3 linked regions of the Drosophila melanogaster genome follow. The protein of the gene in region 2 interacts with the protein of the main gene of each other region in a pairwise test. Each region holds a gene or a part of one and is shown on either strand. Other genes may lie near its edges.

Region 1 (8,365 bases), on a different chromosome or scaffold from region 2:
CTGCTTAGATCGTTCCTTCCAATATCTGCACTCATCTTCCACACTATTGAACATCGGGGGCGACTCCATTTCTGCAAATTTTCCTTAGCTGCTAACTCCTTTTTCTGGTTTTTGTGTACTAATCGGCGGTCAAAATGGGTTTGTAATTTCGTTCGTTCGAATTGATTTAACTTTTAATTTCTGAACAATGCTATGTACTACGGTTGGTCTATTACTGTTTGGGTTATTTATTCGTGTTTTTTGGCTGCTTTGTTTTTAATTGCTGTGATTAAAATGCCAAAACACAGTTGTTGTTCAAGTCGTAGTTTTACTTTTTTTTTGTTTTGTGTGTTGGGGGTGGTGAATAGACTAGAAGTCGGCGAAGAAAAGTGAAAAATCAATTAGGAACAGGTGTTTGCCCTGAATTTTGTAGTTACTGTTGCTGTTGTTCTTGTTCGATGCCCTAAAAGGGCAGTCGGTTTTGTCCATATCAAATGTAAATAAAATCAAATTAAACAAAACTCATTTTTGTGACGCAGCTGCTGCGGCAACAACAACGAAAACAACGAGGATGATGGTGATGAGCAGCAGCAACAACAACAACAACAAATAGCTACGACGAAGTTTCCCATACAACAACGCACTGCATGGAAATGAAATCATCGGTGATTTTTTCGTAGAATTCCAGTGTTTATACCTAGAATTTTATACAGCACGACTGTCCACATTTACTACTTACACTTTGCACTTAATTTTGCTACGTTTTGTTTGTTTTATTTACATAAAATCAGTGTAAATAGTTATGCTCGTAAAAATTTACCACTACTCCAAAAACGCACAAGCCAACCCTGGCTTGGGTTGCCAGTGTTGGCCAATAGATGGGCATTTGCCGTTTCCAGCCCTGGTCAACAGTTGTTATTTGAAATTTAATCAACATATAAAGTTTTACTCGGCTTTTTTTTGCGTTTACGTAGTTTTCTTATATATTCCAAATCATATTTCTCTAATGGACGTGCTGTGAACGTTATCGATTTGTTGGCCGGCGCATCGTTGCTGGTATCGTCCGAAATATGAAACTCAGAGTCGGAACTATCTTCAATTATTTGAGCTGAGCTTAGTGTTAAATCACGAGTGGAGCTGGGAGTTTGTGGCAGTGCTGCAACATTTTCGCCAACTACGCGCATGGGCAGCGCATGATAATGATATGATACATTTCGACAGGATTTGCGGCGTAGTTTGTGTTTTCTGCTTGTTTCAAAGTCACTTGAACTTGTGGACGTGTTATCGTCCCCACTATTTGAGCCTTCCCCGCTTACAGAATCCTTATTGTCAATTTTATTGGAGTTTTTCGTGATTTTAGACATATTTGTTTTAAGCCGCGCTGGATTGTTTTGGTTCCAAAAATGAACAATTTTTCGCTGATCTGTTTCTGGTTCTTTACCAAGTACAACGATGTGGCAACTCCCTGGCAGGGCCGCAACTGAAAAATCTCAAACGGGACATCGTTGCCAGATAGCTAGCCAGAGTGTGGCCAGATCGCAGCGACTGCAGTGCATTTTCAACAAAAATAAGGTAAAATATAGCACAATTATGGCCAGCAATTGTTAAACAATTAACGCAATTGCCAGTATTATAACCAAATGTCAACTGTGTGAGTGCGACAATCGAGCTCGCGTGGGCGTTGCACATGCAGCATCATCGAATTGATTAATTGCGGCGCATGCCGAAAAGTGAAAAAAGGGAGGATGTGTTTCAATCAACGCGAGTGAAAACCGCGACGAACGAAGAAAAAAAAAACCAAACTACTGCGGCAATCGTGAACAAAGAGCTCGTTGCGTCCGAAATTATGTGGCACAGCAACTAAACTATTGGATTTCCCACTCATTTTCCAGTTGAAATCAACGCGTTGCAGCAGCCCCCGCAGCAACAGCAACAACAAAACAAAGGCAACTGGAAGTGCAGCCTAACGGGAATTGCTCCAGCATATAGAGATTATAGTCCACACATATAAATATCCATTTATCGGAAGATAGTCCACAATGGCGGATCCAGAGCGACAAAGCCTGATCAACAAGGACGACGGCAATGGCTACAATTCCGTGGACGCCGTGGACGAGGGTGCCGATAATCCCGGCAGCAACTCATCGGTGGCCACAAACGAGGACGGTGCGTATCGTTACTGTAAAGCCGGGCATTCAACCCGCATCCAATCAGCCGGGCGGGCAACCCATTGGAAGCCCAACAAGTGTGCGGGCGCTCCACTTATCCGGATCCAACGCCGTGATTCCGAGTTGTCTGCTCGCCGTCTCATTTGGCATTTTCACACTTCACCCAACTGAGTCATAAATGCGTGTGGTTTGGTGCGGGGGGAGAGCAATGGGACTGCACAGAAAGAAAAACTGATAGGATATGTGGTGCCCAAATGCCATTTTAAATTATCTGCCATTTTTTTATTTTTTAATAGGGCCCAGTATTATTGGTATTACCAAAAATTTACAACCTAATATAAAATTTTCTTATTGGCCTAAATATCAAATGGGCCACGTACACCATAAAAAAAATGTAATTTTATCACGAAATTGTGAAGAGCTGCCAAAAATGTAAAGATCGATTGTAGTTAGTTACTCGACGCCGGTATCGGCAAAATTTTTGCACCGCCTTTGTTATTGTTTATGCTAGGACGCTCGTAATCAGCGCAAAAAGCGTTCCCCACAGCTGTTTAATCAGCATCGATTCGGAGGTGTTGCTATAGTGGTGGTTAAGCGGGGGCAGTCAATGAGTCCATGAGTCATCATGTCATTCGCTGCCTTATCGCAATACAGGGCGAAAATGAGGGTCTGCGATGAGCAGTGGTTCCATTGTTTACCAAGGAACCTGATCTTCAGCTCGGAAAAAGCTTGTCCATATCATTAATATATACAAGAGTTTAGTTACAAGGGCTTTACGACTTTCCATGTTCCCAATTAATTTGCATAGGTTATCTTTCTGTATTCCTTTCTTTTTGACATTATATATTTATTTAGCCAAAGTAATATGACTTTATTTGCAATTTATCCACTTCATATCAATTTTCCTAAAGAGTGTGTGCGATGTTACTCTTTGCGTTGTTTTCATTTAAAAACGTCTTTCACAAAGTTCGAACTTGTTTTGATCGAGAGACGAGAACCACAACTGCGGTCTAGTTGCACTAGTTTAATGCTTGTACGAGAAAGCTGCATTCATAACGCCAAAACATTGACCCATTTGGTTTATCGCAGCTTCCCAGAGCCACACACTGCACACTATCAGAAAATGCAGTTCTCACTCCCTCCATGAGCCAATCACCGCCAGATGAGCAGTGTGGTTGAGCGAACTCTGCTGGCGAGATGTATTTATTCTACACCAAAGGTCTCGCCTTTGAAGGGCATGGGTCTTAACAATATTATAAGTAGTTAATAATACTTTGCAATGGAATTTTAGGCAATGGAGCACCGACCGCAGTGCCTTGCATTGGACCCGATGAGCTGCCGCCGCCGTATCAGCAGAGTACCAACACCGGAGGCGTCCCGATGGTCACCTGTCGGGTATGTCAACACATGATTGACATCACCACGAAGCGGGAGCAGCACGTGGTCAAGTGCACCCACTGCAATGAGGCTACTGTGAGTAATTCTAAGCAGATTCTTTGAATCCAATTGTAACTTAATACGCTTTTGGCTATCAACAGCCCATTCGGAACGCTCCAGCGGGCAAGAAGTATGTTCGCTGCCCATGCAACTGTTTGTTAATCTGCAAGAGCTCGTCGCAGCGAATCGCTTGTCCAAGGCCCAATTGCAAGAGGATCATCAACCTGGCCCCAAGTCCCGTCACCCCGCCCGTGCCAACCATGCCGGGCATGTGCCGCGTCACTTGTGGCCACTGTTCGGACACGTTTTTGGTGAGTTATTAATCCAAATCACAGCAGCAGGAGTCTTGTAACGCTTGCTCTTACAGTTCAACACGTATCACAACGCCTTGGCCCGGTGTCCACACTGCAGGAAGGTCTCATCGGTGGGCTCGCGCTTTGCCAACAGCCGCGCCGTGATGTTCGCCATCGTGGCGCTGGTGTTCCTCATCACAGGCATCGCTGTAACTATCGGCACATACTCGATTGCTTCGGTAAGCCAAATCAATTTAAAATCAAGCTGAAGTATGTGATTTTCTAAACCCATATGTGTGTTTCCTTTTGCATTTTTCCAGGATCATGGTGGCATGTACTTCCTCTACGTGGCGCTGTTCGTGATTTCGGGTTGCATGCTGGCCAGGTCCGCCTACTATTTCCGCCTTAAAGTGAGCGCCATCGATGGGCCAATGTAAAGCTAAAGCACGGGGCCAGTAGCAAGGAAGAAAGTGCATTGTTTTATTTTTATATATATATATTATTCATATATATCATTCCTTTTGATATTAAATTTAAAACTAAACACAAGCAGCCAATTTGCAGACGGAACATATGAACATTTCTCCAGCAGTTCAGCTACATACAAAAATTCTTCGTTTCGAGCAAAACTAATAGCAAACCTAGCTAAATTTACGAAAGAAGGTCTCCCCGTTGAAGAGCATAATTAGGATATTAAGGCCGTAACTAACTAAACACTATACTAAAAGCGAATATTTCAAGGGTCGCCGTGCAGCTACCATTCAAGTGCTAAAAGTAAAAAAGGAAAACCCCGATCTGTGTTGGCAGTCATTAGTTATTAGACCAGCGACCGATCAATCCACAGTGCATCTCATTTTTAGAATCGTCAGGATCCATTTTAAAGATTGTACAGTTTCGTTGTTTAAGTGTCCGATTTGTTATCCGTTCGTGCCTGTCCTGCAAGATATTTCGGTATTCATACATTACGTATTCGTTGATACGCTTTTGAGTTTTGTGTTGCCTAAAATTTAACCAATGCACTTTTTCTCAGTTCTCGCCAAAGCGGAGGAAAGCGTTTTGTTGCCTGGCGTTAGAAACAATTTGAAGGGTATGCTAATAGTGCTAATGAAGGTACATACACATACGCGCATATACAATACCATAAATACATAATTATAATGCAAATAAACAAAGCAACATTTCTTGAACAACAGAGAACAAGCAAACGCTCATGCAGATATAAAGAAAATTAATTTAGACAGCAACTGCTAAACTGCGAAATTGCATATATATATATGATTAAAAGGAACGGTTTACTTTTGAAATATATATATATATATACAACAACATTTATATTTAGTACATTATAAATTAGCATACATACACTGTAAATAAAAAGAAATAAAACCACAAGCACCACCAACTTTTTGGCGACAAAATGACAAGGCTATGAAAGTAGAATAGAGTGCCTTGAACTTGACATCGGACATCGGCTGGGATTTTCGATTTCGATTACATTTTTAAAGTTTTTAAGTTCCTTGGCCAAGATGTCATCATTGGCTCCTTGCTTTACTGTGGGCTCTATTGTGCGCTGCAAGACTTGTTTTGGCGACAACATTTCGGGCGAGGTAAAACTAAATATTATTTATTATTTTTATGATTATGTAATGCTTTCAATTTCCCAGGTTGTGGCCTTCGATCTGGGCGTGAAAATGCTGATAATGAAGTGTCCATCAAGCAATGGCGGTGGCGACGAACAGACCACTTGCAATGTGACCATTGTGAACCTATCCCTGTGCATGGACATTGAAATAGTAAAGGAAGCAATTCCGCCGGCTGAAGTTCAACAGCCAGAACCGATTGATTTGCCCATGGTAGAAGCACTCTCTATATAGATATTTAAAAGAAACCCCATTCAACCATTTGCAATTGCAGATCCGAGAACGATACCGATACGCAACCGAACATCGTACGCTCTCCTGCCGGAGCTATCATCCCAATGCCTCGCCCTTTGGTCAAGCTCTGTTCAGACTGTTAGTCAAGCGATTCGGTGATCCCGCTATCATCTGGCAGAACAAAGGCGACCAAGTGGCGATCAATATACTCCGTCAGGTGGTCATCGATGCGCCGTATGCCACGGAGAATATCCGATACCTCGATTGGAATCCCAAGCTGGCGATATGCGTCCAAGAGGTCGTTCAAAACTTTTGCAGTAAACAATTCTAGAACGATGGCCCGTGCCCATGGCAACAGTTGTCTAGATAGCATCCGATTCTCTGTACGTTTTGTTTATCAACAAAACAATTCAAAATACACATACATATAGCCATGACACCCACACAGAATACTGCTCTTTATCTGCCAGGGGAAACCATTCTCGTTTGTACAAATTCGATTTAATACACTACACCACAACACCCAACACACATAATACACGATGGCCGATGATGAAGATAAACCAAAGAAGCACACGCTGGACAGCCTGTTCTTGGTGTATTCCAACTTCCAGGTATGATGAATGACCCGGTTAATTGAAGAGTAATTTTCATCTAAATGATGCCAGGTCATACCCACCGACATCGAGAACGAGTACTTTGACAGCATACTCCTCTCGCAGTTGGACGCCTGGCTAGAGCAGGCCAAGCTCATGCCCAATCCCATAACTCGAACTCAGACCGGTTTAATATACATGCGATACAAGTGAGTAACTACATCAAATCTACATATCATTCTTAATCAAATACATGTTTCAGGAAATGGCGTTTGGAGTACGAAGACTTTCTCGAGGTCCTAAATAACTTGGCATCCGATAACAATCTGGCTATAGATGAAATGAAGCAAATAATGATCGATGCTGGCGTCCCGAATGGTGCTGATGTAGTTATAGTCGTCAAGTAGATTGAATCATCACTGCATTTTATTTATATGCATACAAAAAGTCGGACAACAAATTATTAATAGTAACAATTGCATACAAGAGTAACTTTGATTAATTCACAAAAATTATAGTAAAATATAAAAGCATCCAACAAAAAGAGCCTCTAAACCCGATTGGTTAATTTCAGTTAGTTAAACACTTATTTTGACATAGAGGGTGCCTAATTAAGGTATGTTTTGAGATTACTGATCTGAAAACTAAATACAAAATATATGCGTATTACATTTTTTGATGTGATTCAATAAATTGACTGATATTCTGAAATTCTGCTTAAGCTTATAAATATTCGATGAGTTGGTTGGCTTGTTCGCTTCGCGTTACTTTCCTGATAATAATAACAACGTTTGTTTGGGTAACAGAGTTTGGCTGGACTTATTTCTAGCACCTGGGCAAATATGTGGACTGCTCGGAGCTAACGATGTTACAAAAATACATGCTTATTCATTCCGTATATCTAATAAATATTGTCGATGCGTTCTAATGGCTTTCCGAGCGTCTCATAGCGATTGTAAGGTAATAATGCACTGTTTGTACTAGTAAATTTCCGGCTCTTGACGAGGTGCATGGAGTGGATTTGCTATTGATGCTTGCTCTTAGTCATCCCTCCAGTTGCGCAGCATGGTAAAAAAAAATCTATAGCGTTAATTTTTTGAATTGTGTATGCGGGATTTATACTGTTTACCGTGCATACTCGTAGCAACCTCGTGCCGTTCCAAGGCCACTCCAATTTCGCCACATGATTTGTATTTCCGGATATGGTCATATAGATAAGATTCTCTTGTTGGCTCAGTGAGTGTATCTCTTTGCATCGCCGGATCGCATTGTCATGGATTTGTGTGTTGGCTTTCTCATTTGAATGCATGAATAATATGATGCACAGGTAGATTAAGTATACGTCGCACTTAGGATTAGATTAGTAGCAATTGCAAGTAATTTAAGAGTAAATTGTTCGCTCCAGCCAGTCGTCCAAGTTGAAGAAGGCCGTGTCCGAATTGTCCGTGTCCCGTTCGCGGAACATCTCGATGAATGTTCTAACCTTGATGGCACACATCAGGAAATCGTCGAATGGTATTTGTCCCTCCCGCGATCCGTAGCGATGGGCCAGGGCGTTCAGGAGCCGGTTGTTCAGATGATAGCCAGCCGAATTGAGTGCTCCGCGCAGATGGAATCCATCAATACTGCCAGTGCGACGGGTGTCATATAGCTTAAAGACCGCCCGCCACTTGGCAATATCGGTAAGCAGAGCTTCGAACTCCTCGAAACCAAGGCGACCGGAGCGATCCTTGTCCAGCATGGCTACCATCGAACGCACGGCATCCTTGGAGAAGCCATCACTGCCCACCATAACATCGCGCATAGAGTGGTCCAGGATGCGCTTCAGCTCCTGCCAGTCGACTTCCTCATCGCTGCCAGCCACGCTGTCGAACAGACGACGCAGTGCAATGCGCTGCGGATCATCCTCCTCCTTTGGAGTCGGTGGCGGCAGAGACGGAGCAATGCGATCGTCGGTCTCGCCAAAGCCAACCTCATCGTCGTTCTCCTCCATATTGTTCCTTGTCTCCGAGAAGACG
Region 2 (7,219 bases):
GCACAACTTTCATTGTGGCGATTTCCCAGTGCCTGTTTTCAGCTTTCTATTTGGGGCAAGGTAGTTTCCGCCTCGTTTTTTGTGTTTTTTTTTTTTTTGTTTTGCCTTTCACAAAAGCTGCGAGCAAACTACAAACACAAAAGCATGCGGTAACTGCGGGCTAGAAAAACGAATCAAAAGCAGTGGAAAACAGCTGGTTTTGCTTGAAAGTTGTTTGGATTAGATTCGGGCGAGTAAACCATCTGTGTTTTGAGAGCGACTAATGCATAACACAAAGTTGCGTAAGTTTTTAGGTCACCCATGAGGTATATACTTAGATGCGAGGAAAGTTCCCCGAAGAGCCACAACTTCCGCTTCTTTATTTTTAAATTTAATATTTGTAAATGATTGTATGATGAGCCTATAAATACCAATTCGGATATTTAACTATATAAATAGGTACAGCTTGAATAATAACTTAGCATAATAGAGCACTTAAATAGAATACATAATTTGATACGCCCTACGAAAACATACCCACTGATACCCTGCACTGAGGTATTCGGTTATAGGCGTGATTCTGATAAGCTGGCATTGAGCGTACACATATACATATACATATGTGTACGTATGTTTTTCCACGAACAAGTATATTTATATTTATATACAGTTGTGCTCAACATAGAAACAACGCAGAAACTTAAAACCTCCTCCTTTGGTGAAATGCAGCTATTTAACTTTATATTACATAATTTGGAATTTTTGTCAAAATTACTATGGTTATATTGTTATTATTGGTGGGCAAAGCTGTATAAATTTACATATGTATACGTATGTATATATATTTTCAGTGAACCGCTGATTACTTGTTGTTGCGCAGCCAGCTGAGCGCGTGAAGCTTTTGGTGCCAGCACAGCAACAAAACGAAAATAATTATTTCATTTCGAGGGTATTGACAAACAGGTTGCAGGCAGCGAAGCTTCCTTCGTTTGGAAGCCAACGAAATACACCAAACAGTGCACGGTACTCATTAGTCAGTGCATGACTAATGCAAAGGTCAAACGAAAAGCAGCTGTGAAAATTCACCTACCCTCGCCGGCTTTTGTGGGGATATACTATTAAGTCTATTGTTCAGATGTGCGATTTAATTCGTTTATTTTGTAAAAAACAAGAAAACCATGAGGTTAAGATGGTAATTAAACCCAAAATGTTGCTACTAAAGGCAAAATAACTAATTTTAAGCCTATAAAGTCAATTGTTTCAGCTGGAAGTTCACACTCGTATCCAATAGATATATTATACGCATTTGGATACGTTCAACCTCGCATTTTTTTTCTGTGCACACCCACACACTCTCTTTTCTTTGTGACTCACCTCTGCCTGCTGCTGATTTCTTGTTGCGTCGCGGCATGTTGCTGTTGTTTTTGCGTCGTTCAGGTATTTTGCTGTTTGAACTCGACGACGACGTTTTGGTTTCTATTGTTTAGCCTACTGTTTCAAACACAAGGTACGAAACACAAAAAAAACAGATGCTTTGTAGCCGAGTGTCCTTTTCCTGTTCTGGGTCCTCAAAAGGTGGAGAACAGGCGTCGAAGTCTACACAACGGCGAAAATGTCTACACTTTCGTTGCTTTGGCGGCAACTACTGAAACGCACGTGTTGGTTCCGATTTATTGATTTTGATGCTCTAGGTTAGGAAATTAAATTGCGTTCTTGAGCCGAGCTGTCAATTTTTTAATCTTTGTCTTTCTAACCCGAAACGTTGCCGATCAGGACGCACCTATGCAAAAACTTTGGTGCTTCCAATTTTTGGCAATTCTACACGACTGTCTTTGCCGTTTGCAATTGTTCAACTCCGATCGCGATTTTTGCGGCCGTATCTTATATATAGTCTGCTGATTCTGATGGCTCTGCTGCTTGGCGTTGATAATACAAAAATGTCGTACTCCCGTCGACGTTGCAGCAAATTTCATGTTTAATTGCAATGCGTTCACTTTTCTCCGCGCTGGCAGACACTCCCACTCCGCCCTCGGTTCGCAGTTATTGTGAAATCGAATCGAATGCGCTGTCTTTCGATCTCTGGTGCTTCGATTTTGCTATTTCCGATTCGGCCAGTGAAGGCGCTTCGCGGACTTTACGTTGGCAGCTTTCGGAAAGCTCTAAAAATAATGCAAATAATTAAGCACTTAATTCGATTGCTGATTTTTACGAAATGAAAAAGTGAGTGACCGTATGCGCGAACGTTGGAAAATACCATGAATAGCGGTATATTCAATGGAAGATGGAAGTCTGCGCTCATGCGATAGTTGACTTTCGATAAAGCCTATACCTATAATTATACTATACCTATACTATACCTATTATACCCTACTATACCTATATTTACCTATAATTAAATGTGGCTGGAAATAAATAAAACTAAATAATCTTACTTTATAAATTCATTGATTGGTCCTATGCTTTTCCGCAAAATACTAATTTATAATTTTATTTATGGACAATAAAAACTTCTTATTTTTGTTTAAATCGCGATATTCGCGCTCACAAAAATATCATCTCCACTCTGCACCTGTATCGATACTTTCGTTGCAGCCCTGCGCCACCCGCACACATGCACACCTACACACTCACACGTACGCGCTCAGCGATTTGCAGAGAGAGTTTTCGGGTTTTTGTTTAGTTTTATTTGATTGCAACTCGATTGGAACGACAGCGGTTGGCGCAGCACACAACAATTCCTCAGCGAGGTCGATAAGAACGGGGGCCAAACTAAGAAAAAGCTCCAGCCGACTCGATTCGATTCGAAGCTCAGAAGATTGGACTTCAGAACTCGAACTTTGGCACCACAGCAGCGCATCCACGAACGTCGCACCCAAAAATTCATGAATGCCCAGCAGCGGATTTGGACTCGGATTCGGAATCGGAATCAATAGCGAACGACAACAACAAAAGGGGGAGCCGAAAGTGGGGTTTGCAACACCGCGGATTGCACACAATAATTAGGTAATTTGTAAGCGACGTTCACCTGGACAAGGTGAACTTGGCACCGCCTCTATATGGCAGCCTTCGTACCTGTGTATCTTATCGATCGAGTGCCCTGGCTAATCGCGGGATAATCTTGCAGGTATGGCGGCGATTGAGGAGCGTTTCCAGGCGGCAGTCAATGTGATAAAGGGTCTGCCCAAAAATGGCCCCTACCAGCCCAGCACCAGCATGATGCTCAAGTTCTACGGGCTGTTCAAACAGGCCACCGAGGGTAGACCAGATGTGGACAAGAAGCCCGGCTTTTGGGACATCGTAGGCAAGGCCAAGTGGCAGGCATGGAACGATAACCGTCACTTGACCAAGGAGGAGGCGATGCAGCGCTATGTGGAGAGCCTGCAGGAGATCATTGAGACCATGTCGTTCACGGAGAATGTGCAGAACTTTGTGGGCAGCCTCGATAGTCTGGGAAACATCAGCCTGGACGAACTGGAGCTGGTCTCGCCCGGCATGAAGGAGCTGGCCGAGTCGCATCCCAACTCGCCGTTCCACTCGCGCACCAACAGTCCCCAGCACGGCTCCAGTTGTAATGGCGAACCGGAGCCGGAACCTCAGGCGACTAGCACCGCACCGCTGGCCACATCCGAAACGATTAAGGAGAATGGCCATAGTTCGCCGCCACTGACCAATGGCTATGGACCTAAGCCAACAGCAAGCTACACACAACATGACACGCACAACTTTACGAGCAACAGCAGCGTGGCCATCGTGGATCCCTCGGACGATGAGTACGACGATCCCTACGATCTCAGCCACGAGCTGACCCAGGCGATTGGCCAGAACACGGACCTGCTGCGTCAAATCCAGGCTGCTATCACACGGATGAACAGCGATGTGGGCGCAGTGCAGCAGCGCGTTCGCAGCCTGGAGCAGTCGCTCAACGAACTTCGCAGCGGCCAAAAGGCAGCGAAAGGAACGGTGGCGCAGCCACGATCACTGCCCGCCTGGTGGCCCTTCAGGAACATCTCCCCGCTCTGGTTTGCCGTCCTCATCCTGTGGCCTTTCCTGGTGAGGCGGTTCGCGCGGATGCTTCAGTCCAATCCGCAGCGCAGGCACTGACGCAGGAAAGCTATACTTGCGGAGGGCGGAACATGTGGTAGTTAAATTGTAAGTACAACGCAACTAGACAAAGGCATATGTTACCATTCCCACTTTATATTTGAGACGTATTCCCGCAGTCAAGAGAATTTAAGAGCATAGGGAACCTGTTTCGTAGCGAAAGCTTTTACATCATACATTATTTTGTACATATTTGCATTTCATTAACATATTCAAGGTAACGATCTCTATGCGAACTCAGATTGTGGAATATATCTTGTGAGTATTTGGGCAAGGGAAAGTGCTCAAGCATCCACTGTTTAAACTAATTATCAGTAACATGTGTTTCCAATTATTAGTTTAAATGAATGGTCACTATTACAAATAACTTTATACTGTTTGTGCCACCAAAATTAATCCAATGTAAACATTTTCCTTTCAGTTATCTTCGGTTACGGGCACGAGCTTGGTCTTTAGCTTTCTTCTATCCTAGAAAGCGCTTCAGTTATTGTACAGAGTTGGCCTTATTTATACCTTACTTACCCCCATGGTTATCCAGTTGCAATATCTCTACCCCCTTTTGTACACGTCTATATATGTATATTGAATGTATATTTATTTCGTACACACAAATCGCGACCTTTTTGTCACATTCCCCATCTGATTTAGTTCGTAAGTCGAATGTTTTGGCAATTTTGTCCAGCAGAAGGCGAGTTTTAGCCACCTGAAAGCGCCGATCTACTGAAAATACGGTTGTAAGCGTATACTTTATTGTGCATTATTTGTTGTTAATTATAATTTTTGTAATAAAGCAAAAAAAAAGTGAGAGCGCACGCTTGTCATCCATTAGGGCTGTGGAGTGATCCGCAGGTAACTCTTTCCGGAGGGCAGCTCAATGGTTTCGATACCATCAGGAAAGAGCTTAGGAACATCTTCGGCTTTGACGGTGGGCAAGACCATGCACTTGCCGCCCTGTTTCCAATCCGCCGGCGTCGCGACACTCTTTGTTTGGGTCAACTGGAGCGAGTCGATCACTCGAAGGATTTCACTGCAAAGGATATAGTTAAATGTAATTTGTCGGATTAATTGACCTTGAAATCGTTCCTATTTAACTTCCATTATTATATGCAAGGTTAGTACTTAGTTTTCAGCAATAATACTTCATTAAATAATTATCTGCTAATGCGATTAAGTGCACGATTGTTTGCTAAAGTGCATTACAGCATTACTTTATAGATAATGATGAATGCTAGATATTGGAATACCCACTCAAAGTTGCGCCCAGTGGTGGCAGGATACAGGATGGACAGGCGAAGCTTCTTCTTGTCGTCCACCACGAAAACGGCGCGACAGGTGAGGGGAATGCCCTCGGCATTGATCTCGTCCTTGTCCAGCATATTAAACTTGAGCGCCAGTTCCCTTTTGTCGTCCGCAATGATGGGATAGTCAAAGGAGCTCAGCTCTGCGAACAGAAACGCCAATTAGAAGCGATTCCTGTCCAGAAATCAGTGACCAAACCCACTGCCAAAGCTCTTGATGTCCTCGATCCAACCCTTGTGCGACTCCACGGTGTCGCAGGACAGTGCAATTGGCTTGACTCCACGCTTTTGGAATTCCGGAATCAATGCCGCCACCCGGGACAATTCCGTGGTGCAAACCGGCGTAAAATCCGCCGGATGGGAGAACAGAATGGCCCAGCTGTCCTGCATCCAGTCGTAGAAATCGATTCGACCCTCGCTGGTCTCAGCCGTGAAGTTTGGGAACTGATCGCCAATGTTTAAAGCCTTTCCGGACATGGTGGATATTTGAAAAAATCAAGAGACGAATTACGAGCTTTTTGGATAAATGCGAAACAAAATTTGCCGCAAAATGCAAATCAGCTGACTGGGCTAGGGTGCCCGTTACCTTTATAAGCTCAGCTCGACCAGGGATGCAAATATAAAAAGAACTAGTTTTCGTATGAAGATGTTAAAAAGAAGGCTCATTGTGTGCATTCATTTTGCAATCATTTCCTTTAAGTGTTTTAAATCTAAAGTATTTTCTTTGACACAAGCAAACGAGTGTTTCGTATATTTTCGAATTTATGAGCTCAAAAAGTGAACCAGTGAACCGAACCACTTACACGTGCTTGCATCCCTGGCCATTACTCATACACACGCACACTATATCACACATACGCGCAGTGTAAACACAAAAAAAGCTGAGAATTTCTTGCATTTATTTGTTTAAATTGAGCAAAGAGGATATAACCATGACAGAACTGAGCATCACTGGCCAGCAGGTGATGCCCCCGCCCGCATGCACACCACCGGAGCCCTTCCGCATCACAACGAACGCCCCGCACCAGATGAACGATGCCAGTTTGACGCCGGGACGCAGGAAGCTCCAGAAGTGGCTGGGTCGAGTTCTTCGGATCGTGATTACGGACGGACGCGTGCTGGTGGGATTCTTCAACTGCACGGACCGCGACGCCAACATCGTGCTGTCCATGTGCGCCGAGTACTTGGTGGAGGGCCAGGAGCCGCGCCTGCTGGGCAACGTCATGGTTCCCGGCCAGCACATAGTCTCCCTAAGCATCGACGAGCCGGATCCGCAGTCCAGCCTGCTGGTGCAATAGTGTGCATGTGTTTTGAATAAAATAAACTAGCTATTTGAAATTTAAGTACGTTTAATTTTTATTTTTGGATGGGGTTATAGTAAACCCCTCCACACTACGCCCCTGCGTCGATCAGCTGTTTGATAAGCCACTGCCGCGTTGCCAACCATCGCGCAGATGAATCAGCTGTGCTCGATTGGATTCACTGAGTTATTTGTTTGCTCGCAGCACTATTCCTGCCAATTAATAGAGTTAATCAAGCGAAACAGCGCGCCGAAGAGGATCTGCCAGCCACCCGATACTCATTCAATTGAGCCCAATCAGCGATGGACTTCACGACCTTCGTAAAGCCCTCAAATGGCGGTGGCGACAGCGGCGGTGGTGGTGATGCGGATGGCGGCGGCCAGAAGCTGCAGTTCTGGAAGCATGTGGAGTACATCGAGAACCATGGGAAGCAGGAGGACGACTACGAGTACTGCATGACCGAGTTTCTGCGCATGTCGGGCATCTATTGGGGCACCACTGCCCTGGACATTATGGGCCAGCTGGAGCGATTGGAGCGCA
Region 3 (8,110 bases), on a different chromosome or scaffold from region 2:
CTGCTGTTGAATTATAAACTTGTTGCTCTGCAATTTATCGGAAATACTCTTGGTTTTGCTGCAGCTTTTGCTGTTATCGACGATGGTCTCTTTAGCTGAAGGCTTGCCCTCAGCAACGCTCTGTCCCGGTTTGCATTTCGTTTTTAAATGATTTGGGTTTGGATTTTGATTTGCTGACGACGACGGCGATCCAATTGTGCCAGTTTCAACTTCACCGCACCGGCTGTTACTCACCACACCAGCCGGCTGTTCGCCGCTCTCAAGCTCTCCATCCCGTTCTCCACTCTCGCTTAGAATATATCGCACCATCTCCCTCTCCTGACTTCTTGTGTTGAGTAAACTCGATCGCTGCTTTGGTATTGGTGTTACTGTTACATTTGTTGTTGCTGCCGCATCGGGCGAAAGGGAGACGGCAACAACAGAGTGATGACCTCCAGTGGAATCGGAATTGGTATTGGAAATAGAAGATTTCTCAGACTTTTCCTCTGAACCGATCATGTTTCTCTTTTGACTAGTGCTACTGATTGTCGCCGGTTCTGTGAAATCTGTTAGAAAAAAAATTGAAGAAAGAAAGCAAATACAAATGTTATAAAGACAGAACATTAAAACATAACTTGGTTTTTTTTATCTTATTCGTCCGCAATCTGACAACTCTGTGAGCTATCGATAAGCGAATATCGTATCGATAAGCGAATATGTAAGGCGGCTAATTTAAAAGTATACTGGTATTGGAAATCGTAAAAGTTGGCAAAATGAATTAAAAACACTTGTTACCATTACTCATGGCTGGTTAACGCCAACTGAGCAATTGCAGATTGTGTAAGTCACAATTAGTCTTTCGCATTTTTCCAGTCAATATATTTCACCCTGATTACTATTTGCTACGGCAGTTTTTAAATATTTTAAAAACCTTTCCGAAGTCTATAGTTCGTTGAATTTATTTTAAGTACCGAACGGTATCATTTAAAAGGGATAAGTATGGAGCTCAAAAGTAAGTGCAATTATTTCGTTTGTCAAGAATGCAAGAAATAGCGATTAGAAATACGAATACTTGCACCTAACATGCCTTGACAGAAATGCTTGGCTTGAAAATACCTTTAATTTGCGTGTCAGGTGAAAGTATTCCAGTTTGTCCAACCACCACTCACCTGCAATTGCACCTGGAGCTGCGTTGGCTTCTGCCAAAGCCCCACAACTGCCATCGGTGGGCGAGGTGATGGACGCCGCCTGGGTGCGGGCCACGTTCGTTTTCCGGCGCTGGATGAGGTCCTTCTTCCACTGCGGCATGTCCGGCAGGAAACCGGAAGTGGGCGACATCTCAGCTGCAGCTCCCAGGCCAGATCCTCCAGCTGCTAATCCTGCTGGCACATCCGTGTGTAAGTCCAACGAAGGCCGCTTCTGTGACTCCATTATCCCCGTCTGCAATAGGCATTATTCGCAGCATTAATGCATGTCAGCCGTGTCCGCGGTGTCTGTATCGCAGTAGTATCCCCTATATAGTGTGGCACACTATCCAGCTCTACATCTCGACCCAAAGACCAAGTCTGGCGGACTGACTGGCCCGAAGCTGGTGCCAATTGCAAGTGCCCGGTGCCCAAGCTCCTCTACGAAGCAAAGAGGCGGGCATAGCCGACCCAAAAGATTGGCCAACCATGCAAATTATATCCAATTCAAGAAACTATCTCAAGATTCTCAGTTTACTCGACCAGTTTTCGAGATGAACCAATAAGTGAGGGTATAAATATATTCTAATAGACAAAAGTACTGTTTTTTCAATATATGTATATTACATGAGAAGGGGAGTAAATACTTTAATATACATTTAACAAAAAATAAGCTACGATAAACACAAGCTGAAAATGAAATATTTGTCATTGCAGCAATTATTTTCTGCTTATGTAGAAATTTTAATAACAAAGTCTAGATAAAAAATTGAATCATTTTTATAAAATCGCAGCCTGTAGAAATCTAAGTTAATAAATAATAATAATAGTTATGACTGTAAAACTCGCAGCTGTTAGCAGAAATTCTATTTCAACAAGTGTATGGTTCTATAATATATTTATAATTTAACATTTATCTTGGAAAATAAATAAGATGAATATCTTTTGAGTAGATAAAAGGTGATTTCGAATTCGTGGTGGCGATGGCATTTAGAGTTTTATTTTTCTTAATTGGATTAACTGCTGTTTTTACAGCCCGACAGCAAAACAAAACGTAAAACAAAGGTAAGAAGCGAAGAAACCCCAATATTTTTCCAGCATAAATATGCTAAACTGCCATAATGAGCGGAAAATGCGATAAAACCGAATATAGAGAGGAAAATAACGGAAAAGAAAAGCGGGGAAACTGAAACCAAACGATTCTTTTTATTGTTTGGCTAAAATTGATTGCATGGCTAGATTATTGCTGTTGGAATTGGAATTGTTTCTGTTTTTGCAGCTTTGCCTTTTGCATGCCGCGATAAAAAGTATTATTTTTAATTTCCCGTATCAGGCGTATGCATGTGTCTGTGTGTGTGTGTGTGTATGCATCACACGACTCCGCCGGAGAGAGTGTGAGTGTGTGCAAGGGTGGCTGAAAAGGGGAGAGCGATAAAAAGGGGCTGCAAAATGCAGACGAAGCATAAAATAAACAACCGACGACGCGCTATCGATTTTTACGGCATGCTGGAAGCACCAGCACACTGATACACACAGTTTGCAGAATAGGGAAATAAACTGGAAGTTATGCTATGCCAAATTGAGTTTTTTCAACAAAAATTCCTCGCAGAGAAACGCGAAACGAACTAGTGGAAGACTAAAGAGCCGGGTTTTGTTTATTTACACAGGAACAATACAATCGCACGCAGCCAAAGACACACATACGTATACCACATACACATGCATATATCCCGACGCACTGTTCCGTTAGTTTAGTTGGGGTTTTTGTTTTTCTCGGGCTTTCGCTGAAACCTTAGCTTGAAATCCTTACTTTTAAGATGCTGACTATTTTTTATAATCGGTGGTTGGTTTTGCTTCCAATTTTCCGATCCCGAGTTCCGTTTATCATCCGCTCCGCTGCGCCTGTTTACCCCGCTTTTACACTTTTCCGTTTCGCTGTAGCTCAACGAACTCGTCGCTCTCCTTGCTCCGCGCACTTGTCAAGCTTTCCCGACTGCAACTGCACTCGAACTCGGGGCGTGGGTGCACTCGCTGCGCCTTAAAAGTGCATCTTTCGCAGCCGAATCAGCGGAAAAATCTGCATTAAGTTAAGCCGCGTTTCCAATACACAAATACTGCTTATCGATTGTTGGCGCTATCGAGCGGAGCATCGATAGGCATCAGCGGAGTTGCCAGGTAGGACGATTATATTAATGAGTTGGAAAACTATTCGTACTTGATAATCTTCTACAAATTGAATCGTCGATCGTCGGTGCCGTCGACAATCTGGTATTGATATTTGCTGGTGCGGCTTTTTTTCACGAATTTTATTTTGCAGGAAACATAACAGCAAATATTATTTAAAACATTGTAATTTTATAAGGTAAATTATTCAGGCCTAAATACAGAAAAATAAATTAATTTAATAAAACATTTAAATCTAAAAAATTAATAAAGAATATGTTTAAAATCACATCGCAAAATGTAATATTTTTGTATTTTAGTCAGCACTTACCGTTATTATTGGCAGTAGTAACTGTGTGGCAGCACCGCACCGTGGCAAGTCGATAGTTTTTTGTATATTGTTGGTCTGTATAAACAAATAATATTAAAGTCATAATAAAAGAAGTGCTGGTAAAGACTTAATAACTCTATGTTCCTTAAAAATTTTTAAATATATCTCACAATGAGCATTAACTGGATAAAGATCACGGAAAGGTATGTAATATCAATGTTCTTATAGAGATTAATTTCTTGCATTTATATCTTAGAGCCCGTGAGGGCATCAAAATCATCAATGCCTTGCCCTACGAGACCTTTACGACGGTTCTGTTCTACACCCACCGGCAGATGAGTCCCAGCGTAGCATCGGCGAGTGCCACCAGTAGTACAGTGGGCACCAGTGTGACGACCACCGGCCGGGTGGACAGCAGCACCGAGGAGAACCCCACAAGTAACACCGAACCGGAGTACACACTCGAGGAACTGGAGCGATTGGTGGGCGTACCGCGTCAGGACTTCCTGCTGCTGATCAAGACCTTCTCCTACATCCTGCGTCGCATCTCCACGTTTATCATCAAGCCAAGTTTGCTGCAGCGTGAGCTGCGCGAGAAACTCCAGCTGGAGGATGAGGCCAAGATCGATGCCATATTGCGTTTGTGGGTGCGCGAAACGACGCCCATTATGAACAATTTGGCCAGCAAGCGGTACGAATCAAATGTCATCGAAGATGTGGCCTGGAAGCTCAACATGGAGATCTCCTCGCATTGCCAGCAGCGGGAGAAGACCCCGCTGGCCGTGCTCCAAATGAAAACGGCCGTCGGCGAGGATATCAACATCGAAATGACACAACCGGAACTAATGGAACTGTACAATCAGTTCGAGAGCATCCAGGGCGAACTGGACGCCATGCTGGCCATGAAGACTACAGGAGCAACGGCGCCTGGCAATCAGTAGTGGGACGCCATCGACCAATTCCAGTGCCAATTTTATTGTTGATTCACACAAAACTCTGTGCAAAAAGATGGACCTAAAAGTATGCAATACTAACACGATCGTAGCCAAATGTTAAACACGTTTTTTTTTGTTTAATTCAGTAGGGTTTTTCCTATGTTCTGGCTAATTTTCCGAACGTAGCCAAATTTTTACTAGAGTAAGAGTTCGGCTTTGATTTATAAAACGTTGCAATGATTAGGATCTTCCAAACAGGACTAGTTTTTAAGTTTTAGAACTTACCCTCTGCAAAATAATAAATCCTTTAATAAATTTAGATAAAACAATGTGTGGCACATTTTACAGTACACTTTAATGGATCTCTGCATGCGTTTTACTCGTCTGCTCCACCTCGGATCATAATTCTACTGATAAACATTACAAATTATTACAATGATATATATTTAATATATGTCTATATTGTATATGCATATGTTATTCATCGGCCTTAGTATGCGTGTGTGTGTGTATAATGGAGTCGTATATTATGTATGCATTATACAGACTTTCTAGTTTCATCTTCTCAAACTTTTGCATAATTATGCATATGTATTTATTGTTATTACGGGAGGGCGGGGATTTTGGGTTGCTTCGTATTCAAATTAGGGGCTTCGTTGTATTTTTCACTAATCTAGAAGCAAAACGATTTCTATTGCACTCTTTCACAGTTCGGTTAATCATTTCAACTAAGTTTGGACAAAATACAAATGTATGCAAATTATTTGGACTACAATTTTCATTAAAATGTATTGCTATTGTTACATTTAGTTGTCGTGTGTGTAGGTGTTGTTATCATTTTTCCTTTTTTGCTTTGGCACCGGCTCCATTAACTAGCCCTTAACTTGGTTGTTAGTTAGTCTTCAGTTTGCGTGGGATTCTGTTTAATTATATTGGTTTTTCGTGTAAATGATTATCGCCTTTCGAAATGCGTTGGTCATTTGTTCCTGTTGTTCTATTTGTGCTGTCTGTTTTTGAGTTGTGTTTCCATATGCACTTCATTTCAATTTTGTATAAATAAACCAATAAATAAGTTCTTTCGGGTTAGAAAATTTAAATGATCATTTACGCAAGCACTTAGAATCGAGCTAGGATAAATAAAATTACACAGTGTTAAACTATTTAATATATACAACAATTTTATCGATTCAAGCTTGCTGAATTTCCTTTCGCTGTGAGTAACATCGCATGCCGATTAAATCAAGTGAATATGGAAACACGACTCTTTTCTCATTGTGTGTTTATGTTTAAACATTAACTTCGGTGTTTTTCATTACTTTCTGCTGATTGGATTGATCACCAGAGCCCGCTGTATTTGACCTATATAAGTAATAAGTGTGAGCGCCACGTTCAAATGAGGAGAATGCAAGGTGGTGTTCGATTTTTTAAATAAAAACTTGATATAATTAAACAAAAATCAATGTAGCACATACATACACAGTTTACGCTTTGTAAAAAGTTACAAAAAATTTAAACACAAAACAGACATAAAAAAAAAAATAATACGAGAAACTAAAAATTGTACACTACATCTCCGACGGTTGCAGCAAAATGTTTTAACATTTGTTTAAAACTATGTAACTCAATTATTGCATTGTGTTTTTGTGTGAGTGTATGAGTGTGTGCGATTTATAGTTAGTTTAGTTTAGATCTAATATTAGGTATATGTTTATCAAGTATTTATATATATAATAATATAAAAAAGTAAACATTTAGCGCTTTTAGTTTGCTACAAAAATTTGCTCGTCTCGCTCACATATTTCAACTAACATTAGGTGTACAAAAAAATTGGAAGATATATAGTTTATATCAAATTGTGGCTAGCGTAAAAATACAATCAGTATTCCAGTATTTAGTATTGCCGTCGGTTTGAAGCGGCAATTGCGGTTACATTGTACGCCGATTCCTCGTTATCTTAGATATATATATCTTTATATATATATAAAATGTATAAATTGATGCGTGTTCGTTCTGTTTGGCGAGATTGCTGCATTCCCATTCGATAGATCGCGGTGTAGAGTATATATATATATATATATCCAGTAGTATCCAGTGTAGTACACATATATCCAAGTATAATATCAAGCGTTGATCCTCCTCCGCGCTCTCTTCGCACTTCGTCCCTTAAGTAAATAATAATGTAGTTGCCACAAGATGGTTGGGTTCTGTTGGGTTGGGTTGGGTTTCCATTCGGTTGAGTTGAGTTCAGTTGCTTGGTTGGCTGGCTGGCTGGCTTGGATTGGCTGGAGTATTGGGTTTTGGAATGGCTTTACATGCCCGACTCTGCAATGCCCTCGTCATCTGAAAGAGAGTCAAAATGGCACGGTTAGAATTGTACGATGAGTACAAAGCAAAAGCTTAGCACATGCACGGGGTTAGAAAACCATAAAGGTGGCATACAATAAATGAAAGTAACAAGTAATCATGCAGGTAAATAAAAACAATCAGGAAATATACAAAACATCTACGGAATGTGGCCATAGTGCGTTTCACGGTGAAAACTTTCAATTTAACTACACAAATGACATATATTTACAAATATATTGTTTTGCCCATGAAATGCACCTGGATCCACTCCTCGGGATTTGCGTAAGTATCTACAAACCCATAAACGGATTGGCATAGATGATGCCGCCGCCAGCCTCGGAACCAACACCATTTCCCAAAACACCACCACCGTTAACAGCGATTCCACCGCCGATTGCAGTTCCACCTCCTCCCCCGCTGACCACTAGTCCGCCGACTCCAGCGCCGGATAATCTGGATGCCTTGCTGAGTTTCGTGGTGGAATAGTCGCCATCGCCGACCAGCGTGGCTATGTCGTCATCATCGCCGTTCCGCGTGTTGCAACTGCTGCCGAGCAGTTGATCGTAACAGCTAACGTCTGTGCTGATCACATCCACCTCGATGTCGTCGTCATCCTTTTCCAGACTATTTCGATTACTGCCCCCCAGCGAGGAGTGCAGGGCATGGGAGTCCTCGTAGCTGCCGCCACCGCTGTCATCGTTGGCATTATTCGACTTGGTATCGATGTGGGTCTCGAACTCATCGTGCATATACAGCTCCTCATCCTCGTCCTCCTCTTCGAGATCCTCTTCCATTTCGTGGGGTGCAAGTTCACCATCTTCGCCTACCTCCACACCGATTTCCACTTCCAAAAGCGAACGACGTCGCGTGAAGACCTCGTCATCTTGATGATTGGATTGCTGACTGTGGTTTTGTGGCAAGATCATTACATCTTCCTCGGCGAAACTTAATCGGACATTGGCGCGACTGGCCCGATTGCTGCCTGGACCGGAACCGGAACCAGAACCGGAACTGGGTGGACCATTAGCTGCCGATCCATTGGATCCATTGATGTACTCATGACTAAGACTGTTCTTGATATCACAGGATGACGAGCTGAACGTTATCAGCTGGGATTTCCGTCTATGCTGTAGCGTATTGTAGCCGTTGATGGCGGATATGGTGGTTATGTT

The links.
Region 1: the proteins of Sbat (region 2) and Hez interact in a two-hybrid assay, tested with the Drosophila melanogaster proteins (one study listed by BioGRID).
Region 3: the proteins of Sbat (region 2) and Vlet interact in a two-hybrid assay, tested with the Drosophila melanogaster proteins (one study listed by BioGRID).

What each region holds. Positions count from the first base shown.
Region 1 is NT_037436.4:9,891,709-9,900,073, reverse strand, and holds Hez (hezron), read left to right. Parts: upstream 1-5,330; 5' UTR 5,331-5,403; coding exon 5,404-5,484; intron 5,485-5,541; coding exon 5,542-5,730; intron 5,731-5,791; coding exon 5,792-6,082; 3' UTR 6,083-6,293; coding exon of another isoform or gene 6,294-6,365; intron 6,366-6,419; coding exon of another isoform or gene 6,420-6,556; intron 6,557-6,609; coding exon of another isoform or gene 6,610-6,754; 3' UTR 6,755-6,886; downstream 6,887-8,365. Other genes in the region: nudE, read right to left, coding at 1-69; CG46387 (uncharacterized protein), read right to left, coding at 906-1,343; CG6707 (uncharacterized protein), read left to right, coding at 2,019-2,145, 3,439-3,620, 3,686-3,895, 3,952-4,116, 4,198-4,314; CG6709 (uncharacterized protein), read left to right, coding at 6,294-6,365, 6,420-6,556, 6,610-6,754; CalpB (Calpain-B), read right to left, coding at 7,729-8,365. UniProt on the Drosophila melanogaster protein: May have an accessory function in the survival motor neuron (SMN) complex.
Region 2 is NT_033779.5:2,872,283-2,879,501, forward strand, and holds Sbat (sabbat), read left to right. Parts: upstream 1-6,061; 5' UTR 6,062-6,310; coding exon 6,311-6,676; 3' UTR 6,677-6,719; downstream 6,720-7,219. Other genes in the region: Ifrd1 (Interferon-related developmental regulator 1), read right to left, coding at 1,354-1,390; CG8814 (uncharacterized protein), read left to right, coding at 3,106-4,080; Prx6a (peroxiredoxin 6a), read right to left, coding at 4,906-5,107, 5,329-5,521, 5,582-5,855; RabGGTb (Rab geranylgeranyltransferase subunit beta), read left to right, coding at 6,982-7,219. UniProt on the Drosophila melanogaster protein: Auxiliary component of the N-terminal acetyltransferase C (NatC) complex which catalyzes acetylation of N-terminal methionine residues. May have an accessory function in the survival motor neuron (SMN) complex.
Region 3 is NC_004354.4:11,674,153-11,682,262, reverse strand, and holds Vlet (valette), read left to right. Parts: upstream 1-3,711; 5' UTR 3,712-3,828; coding exon 3,829-3,860; exon of another isoform or gene 3,861-3,913; coding exon 3,914-4,598; 3' UTR 4,599-4,919; downstream 4,920-8,110. Other genes in the region: bif (bifocal), read right to left, coding at 1-545, 1,149-1,410. UniProt on the Drosophila melanogaster protein: Scaffold protein in the commander complex that is essential for endosomal recycling of transmembrane cargos; the commander complex is composed of the CCC subcomplex and the retriever subcomplex.